Linked DNA regions of Danio rerio. The protein of the gene in region 1 interacts with the protein of each later gene in a biochemical or structural test. Links are inferred from orthologs where the notes say so. Each region holds a gene or a part of one and is shown on either strand. Other genes may lie near its edges.

Evidence for each region. The genes of interacting proteins can lie anywhere in the genome.
Region 2: the proteins of ptenb (region 1) and rps26 form a complex in vitro, tested with the Homo sapiens proteins (2 studies listed by BioGRID). The link is inferred for Danio rerio from reciprocal best matches to the Homo sapiens genes PTEN and RPS26.

The regions. Positions count from the first base shown.
Region 1 is NC_133187.1:19,011,085-19,014,741, forward strand, and holds part of ptenb (phosphatidylinositol 3,4,5-trisphosphate 3-phosphatase and dual-specificity protein phosphatase PTEN), read right to left. Parts: intron 823-3,657; coding exon 778-822; intron 500-777; coding exon 456-499; intron 371-455; coding exon 132-370; intron 1-131. UniProt on the Homo sapiens protein: Dual-specificity protein phosphatase, dephosphorylating tyrosine-, serine- and threonine-phosphorylated proteins.
Region 2 is NC_133198.1:30,595,714-30,599,724, forward strand, and holds rps26 (40S ribosomal protein S26), read left to right. Parts: upstream 1-1,537; 5' UTR 1,538-1,548; coding exon 1,549-1,551; intron 1,552-2,116; coding exon 2,117-2,294; intron 2,295-3,127; coding exon 3,128-3,258; intron 3,259-3,360; coding exon 3,361-3,396; 3' UTR 3,397-3,454; downstream 3,455-4,011.

The DNA.
Region 1 (3,657 bases):
GTTGGGGAACACTGCGCTAGCTAATCAAAATCTGAAACTATTTTGGGCTTCACATTTGTATACAAAATCTGCATATCAACTTTTTTAAAAACAAAATGCAAAGCAGAAATATGTTCATATATATTTCTCACCTTCTTGTCTCTGGTCCTAACTTCATCGTAGAAGTCCAGAGCCTCTTGTGCTTTTTTGAATTTGCCTCGGTGTAACAAGTACGCACAAATCATGACACCCGTTCTTCCCTTTCCAGCTTTGCAGTGAATGGCAGCCACATGATTGTCATTTTCACTGAGCCATTTATCCAAATCTTCACAGAAAGGTTTAATGAGCTCTAGCTGAGGAGGATTGTGATCCTCAAATGGATACTGTGCAACTGCAAAAGATAAATAAAGAGATCATTGAGAGACCATCAACGTTACCACACAAAAACTGACATTTATGCAATCCAAGCCTCTTACCTCTGCAGTTAAATTTGGCAGTATCGTAATGTCTTTCTGCACATCTAAACAACACAAAGTAAAGCAGATAAGTACACAAGTTCAACATAATACTTTTCTGCTTAGAACTTTGCACCAATGCCAAAACCAACAGAACAATCGGAGTTAAGTAAGGGATCTATGTGCAATGACAAAGCCCTCCATTCACAACGATCAAACAGCCGCCTTAATCTTCAAGTGAACATGATTGCAGCTTTCAGAACATTCTAGCAGTAAAAGCAGTTTGATGAAACCCATTTACAAAACCGATATCACAGAACTGAAGTTTTTGAAACACACTTACAGGTTATATATCTTGTAATGATCTTTATGCTTTGAATCAAGAAACCTGCAAAACAAGATAGAACAAAAGCATGTTATAGATTTTAATTAAAGGAATAGTTCATCCAACAAAAGCTCAACAAAAAAACAAAAAAAAACAAATGAAGGTATTTTAATGGAACTGGATTTCTGTTCTTTCATTGAAAGTCCTTCAAAATAGTTATGCTTAAATGTAATCAATCCGAATCAAGTGCTTTAAAGCAAGTCTCCTGAAATGGACTTGATGGACAGATTTCATTTAGGTTTTTATTCACTTACAAATACTGATTAACACCTTACTGGTTCATATGGAAGATCAAATGTGCTAGTGGGACATGAGACCAAGCCTCATTAATTCTCACGTCAATCAAGTACAATTGAGAGTCAAGTTTACAATATTTACAACATATGTCAGATGATCAATTGTTATATGTTAATAAAATCCTTAATTTATAACTTCATGTCTCTTCAGAAGATTAAAACTGATTTGCTTTTAAAAGTTAGCTATGGATGTAACAATACAATTTCTTTTAAACAAAATTTTATTTTACACCATTACTTTTAGGGATCCACAATATTACAGGAAATGGAACATCATCAGCATTGGTCAACTATGTCTCAAAATGTACATTTGAAAAAATCACGCTAATATGCCTTGCCGATATGTGTTGAGTATATGCCTGCAACAGCATGCATGTGCAAGAAGTGCTTGCCTTAAATCGGAGATGCCCAAAGTAGGGCCTGCGGGCCAAAGTTGGCCCATTGTAACATTTGATTTGGCTCACCATCCCATCTTGGAAGAGGGTAAAGTGATGGAGAGGGTTGTTTTATTGCTGAGCTACAAAAAAGCTAATTAAACTCAAATAATTAAAATGTACATAAGGACTAAGCCGAAGACATCAGTAAGCAAATCAAGGCAAAAACTACTGTAACTCAATTCTGTTATAAATTAGTAGTTTTTACGGTAGTAACTTCATTATAAAATGTAAAAAAATTATACTGTATTATTTAATATAAAGCAATGTTTTCTAGTAATATTTAATTCTTTTAAATACATTTTTAAATTACCCAAGGCGATTCTATTTACATTCAGCCCATTAGCATCAAACAAGTTTGGTTTTTGGCCCTTTCTCAAAAAAAGTTTGGGCAACCCTGCCTTAAAGAATGTAATATGATAAGTTAAGTTTGTTTTATATTATTCAAAAGCATATGTGCACCACACATCCTAAAAAAAGTGAAGTCAAAACATTGTGTGTCCTTGGTGGCGGGATATCTGTCCTGAATCGGATGAGTGTTCTACTCAAAACAAATCAAATCACACTTCTAATCACTTGTTCCCAGAGAGGACTTGCCATTTTATGTACATTCAGATGTTCATTTTTCTAATATATTCATTGAGTTACATGCTGCTATACAAATTAGCTGTGCGCTTTCAGTGAGATTTTTGTTTTGTGCTCCTGCCACTTACGATCACTACTGCACAGATTTGGGCATTTAAGCAAAGAAATGACAGCAGCCAGGCTGGAACAATTTAGCTATATTGAAAGAAGTAGAGCCTTTTTTGGGGGTGTGGGGGGGTCTAGCAGTATTCAGGTACAAAAATTTAACAATTTAATGTAAAATAACATGGTATGTATAAACCATTTAACAATAATAGTATTTAATAATATCTTTATTTGTTTTAAATAATCCAATCCTGCGATGTGACTATTGCAGATACATGCATTGCAATATCGCTACTCAACTGATTTATCCTTCAACCCTACCCCCAAGACATTCAATCATCTTTGGAATATAAATTACGATATGAAATCTGACAGCTCCCTCGTCCTGCATTGACAGCAAGCTCCATTGACCACTTTCAAAAAGAAAACCTTGAAATCCAGAAAGGTACCAAAAATTTCTTCAAAACAGACCATATGCCTTCAGCAGTTCAACTAGAATTTTAACAAGCTATGAGAATCCTTTTGTGCACAAAAAAAAAAAAAAAAAAAACATTAGTCAAAGATTCTTGTCCTCAGTGTCAGTATATTGTGCATGTTTATTGGCACTGTACACGGATGTGACCTAACAAATTGCCCTATACTGACACTGAGAAAAAGAAAATGTTCAATAAAGTTGTTATTTTCAATTTATACGTGTACAAATGTATTTTCAAAGCTTGCTAATATTTCGATTGAGGCATATAATGCATATGCTCAGTTTTTAGGTATTTTCTTGGACTTTGCTGTTTGTGGAGGATAAGGAAGCTCTTAGATTTCATTTAAAATATCTTTGAGTTCTATAGATGAATGAAGGTCTCAGTGGTTTGAGAGTAATTCATGATATAATTTTCAATTTTTTGTGAACAAAGCTTTTAAAACAAAATACCAGGTGTTTTGGAAACAAAAATTTGAATTTTTATTATCTGCAAAGCTACAACACTCAATTTTCAATTTTACTATGCTGTCATTCTTTGCATTGGGAATCGACAGAAAGGAGTAAAGATGAAAAAAAGTTAATGTGAACTTCTATCTGTGTTCATTGCGTGTTCTCATTATTGTATTTAATTTGTAGATAAAGTTCTATGGTTTTGCATAAAAGGTACTTTATCTTGTTGGGGTTTATTGTGGTTTTTAACTCGTGTTACTTGCTACCAGGTGTCTGTTAGATAATGCATGAGTAGAAAAGACTATAAATTGAAACTTAAAGTGGTTAAAAGAAAAGGCTCTGGCTGTGGCAAAATATCATACGCTATGCATTGGTATTTCTTCCCTTTTTGCTTTTGAACTTTACAATGGGAAGCACCACACGCTGTGACTTGATGTTACTTCAAGCGCATCATTCTGTGCACGGGATGTGCAAAAGCGCTTTGTGCAGCTCT
Region 2 (4,011 bases), on another chromosome or scaffold:
TACAGATTTATATGCAACTGTTGCCTATTTTTTTAACTTTTGATTTTGATTGAAAGAAATCACCCACTAAATATTACCCAGTGTACAAAAAAACATATAGTCTCCAGATTAACAAGAATCATTTGATGGCAAATTAGAAGATTTATATAATGCCACTATAGGCTGTACTGTACTCATTTTTCATCAGGATGTTTTGTCAATAAAATGTTATAGAATTGACTTTTTAAGTATTGAAATAAGTACGGGAAATTCAAATTTTGAATGGATTTGGAATTGGATTTTAAACCTGGGACAATGGGTATTATTAGGAATCTCTTCATTTTGTGCAACTATAAAAGTTGGCAGAATGGAATGCTTCCAAACTTTAAAAGATAAGTTTGGTTTTCTAAAACAAAACCTATTTAGATATTTACAGTTGCGGGACTATTATATGAAAGAAATACAGGATGAAAATTGGAACAATCAGCTTGTTTAGATTTTCATTCAGACGTACAAGAAGAGAACGACTAAAACATTTTCTAAATTATATAGAGTAATAAGTCATTAATGTTTAGTTGAACTCAGAATTATTAGCCCCCCTGAATTATTACCCCCCCCATATTTGTTCCCCAATTTCTGTTTAAAGAAGAAAATATTTTTTTTTCAACACATTTCTAAACATAATAGTTTTAATAACTAATTTCTAATAACTGATTAATTTTAACGTTGACATGATGACAGTAATTAATATTTGTTTAAGAAAAGTAAACAAAAACCACTCAAACACAGTAATTTGAGTATTTGTAATTAGTTTGTTCGTTTCCACTTGTTTGTTTCCACTGGTTATATGATCCAAAAAAAAATCTATAAAAACTAGATATAAAAAAAGAAATAAGTTTGGCAGTTTCATTTTTATGACAGACACACACACACACACACACACACACACACACACACACACACACACACACACACACACACACACAATGGATAAACAATTCTTTACGAAAATGGTTCATCTGTGTTAATTACTGTGACAAAGTGACCATGTTAGTTTTTGCTACATCAACCCCAGTTCAAGAAAAAAGAAAGAAAGACTTGCATATTTGTTACTACTGTTAGCTTTTAGTAATAAAACAAACAAATAAACCCATGCATACATATAAAATTGGAGATAGAGGACTGCTACCTCTTAATACAGTATTAATTGCAGCACCACAATGGGTCTCATCTGTGACATGTATATTTACCTTGCAGTATTTGGGTTTACCAAGATGTCATATTTCTCCTGTTCTTTCAGGGAGGTCATGTTACCTCACTTTACGTCGAGCACCATCTCTCTTTGTATGTGCATTATATCACAGGTAAAACATAATATGAAGAATTCGTTCAAATGTTTATATATTAAAATTGCACAATATTAAGATCTGTAATCGATTATTGAAATAATAAAATGGGTTTACTTTTAGGGCTTTTATTTTCTTAACTACATACTTCCGGCCGCCGTGTGAACTATAAAAATGACGTAAGAGCTTTTCCGGTCCTCTTTCATGCCTCTCTAAAATCAAGATGGTGAGTTTACCAATCGTTCAGTCAGAGGCTAGTCCTGTATTCTGGCTCGATCTTTACGATACGGCGTATTATCTCGCCGGGTACGCGTTTCGGAGTGAAGTTTATTCATTCATCAGCAAACACTAATCGGTTTTTAGGCAAATTAACCCATTGAAGCGATAAAACGCCTGAGGTGTCTACGCATGTAACGTTACACTAAAGCATCGTACGCATTCACAACTATTACATTTAAACGTAATGCATCTACAAGTTACGCCTTTACGCACGCAAACATAAAAGTGATCTTTTTATATATGTATTTCAAAATTGTAAAGTTAAAATTAAATCACCACACTATATCATTTAATACACAATAGGCCTTATTGCATGTTAAATGAAAAGTGTATCATAACACATAATTTTTATTGTGTTTTTTTATAGCAATTGCAGTATGTAAGTTTATTTCAAAGCGTTATAAAGTAAATATATAATTTTAAGTAACATGCCCAAGCCTGAAATGAAGTAAATCAGTGTTTTTAGGTTGTCCCCTGAAAACCACTTCTCATTGTACTTTTCCACATCTTAGACTAAGAAGAGGAGGAATAACGGTCGTGCTAAGAAGGGACGAGGGCATGTCCAGCCCATCCGCTGCACAAACTGCGCCCGCTGTGTGCCCAAGGACAAGGCCATTAAGAAGTTTGTCATCAGGAATATTGTGGAGGCTGCTGCAGTCAGGGACATCTCTGAAGCCAGTGTGTTTGATTGTGAGTAAACAGTTGCTTTAGAAAATGAGGACACTGATTGTGTCCCTAGTGCCCTTTTGAAACTATTGTTTTAGATGTCTCCTACAATAGATCATCAAAGATCAAAAATCGTATAATACAGGTGGCAGCATCCAGTCTAAAATGGTCCATTCCACGATCCAATCTTTCTAATCCTTTGCTTTTTGAGTGCCTGTTCAGATTGGCCAGTCTGCTGTGATGAGTCAACCACTTACAACAAATGTTGGAAGCCATAGTCATTCTCATATCTCTAGGGTGTTCAAACTAAAATCCTGGAGCACCACTGTCCTAAAAAAAATTGGTTTCAGTTACAATTAAACACACTAGCTTCCAGGCAGTTGGCCCTAAACTCTACAGGATATAGTTTAGACACCACTGCCATAATTTAATTTCTCTGGAAGCTTTCTCTACACTTTCAAATACAGTGATATGAGCTGTAACAGTAGTGCCCGTTTTACTGTAGCAATTTGATCTGCAGACTTCGTCCTTTGGGAGTGCTGATAAGTTAATTAGCTGTTGCAGCAAAATAAGCAGCATCTCAACACAACAGGTTGTTTATAAGGCTCAAAGTTGACATTGTTTACTTCGCAGGCTTTGAAGACCATTCAAGTATGAAATTATGCTAATTTGCTAGAAACCTACATACATTTGTGCTTATTTTTTCAGGGAGAGATTAGTTATGTATTGTGCACTTTGATCATTGAAGCTTTGCAGACTAAGATTTATAAAAGGTTACATTACATACTACATGATGCATGGCAAAGCATGACAGAGGCATTGTACAATATTAACAGTTATGTTTTGTTTTTGTGCAGCCTATGTTTTGCCCAAACTCTATGTGAAGCTGCACTACTGTGTCAGCTGTGCCATCCACAGTAAAGTGGTGAGGAACCGCTCTCGCGAGGCCAGGAAGGACCGTACACCACCTCCACGCTTCAGGCCTACTGTAAGTCTGGTCTTCACATCAGTGTTACAAACATGAATAAATAAAACATGCTATTTTATGCTTTTTTATCTATATGTAACTGTTTTCTGTTTCTTTTTCCAGGGTGGTGCCCCAAGAGCTCCTCCAAAACCAATGTGATCTGGAGCCGTTTACATAATTTTTTTATGTAAAGAAATAAAATTGACTTAAATGTTAATGTGTTCTTTTGTTATTGGTTACTAAAGTTTACCGAAATGCATTTTGAATAGACAATACTACAAATTTTGTTCATATTTTTTATTACCTATTTAAACGCTCAGTTCCATAAGTGGGATGTTTTTCAGTATATTGTGTTACCTTGATAAACTACAGTAGTCAACATTTGAAGTGGATTAAAACCTTTCCTTAAAGTGGAACTGAAACTATACTTGTTCTTTTTATGATCCACCTAAATGTTGACTACTATATATCATGCATTGTTCAACCATAAAAATGGGCTGACCATTAAGGGGTTACGTTTTTGAATAAATGAATGGTAAAGCATTAAATTAGGAATAACCTAATGTATTACAGATAAAGGTGGTGCAGCGGTTAGCACTGTTACCTCACAGCAAGAAGGTCGCTTGTTCGAGTCAGTTGGCATTTCTGTGTGGAGTTTACATGTTCTCCGTGTTCGCATGGGTTTCCTCTGTGTGCTCTGGTTACCCCCACAGTCCAAAGCTATGCGTTATAGGTGAATTGAATAAACTAAATTGGCTGTAGTGTATGTGTGTG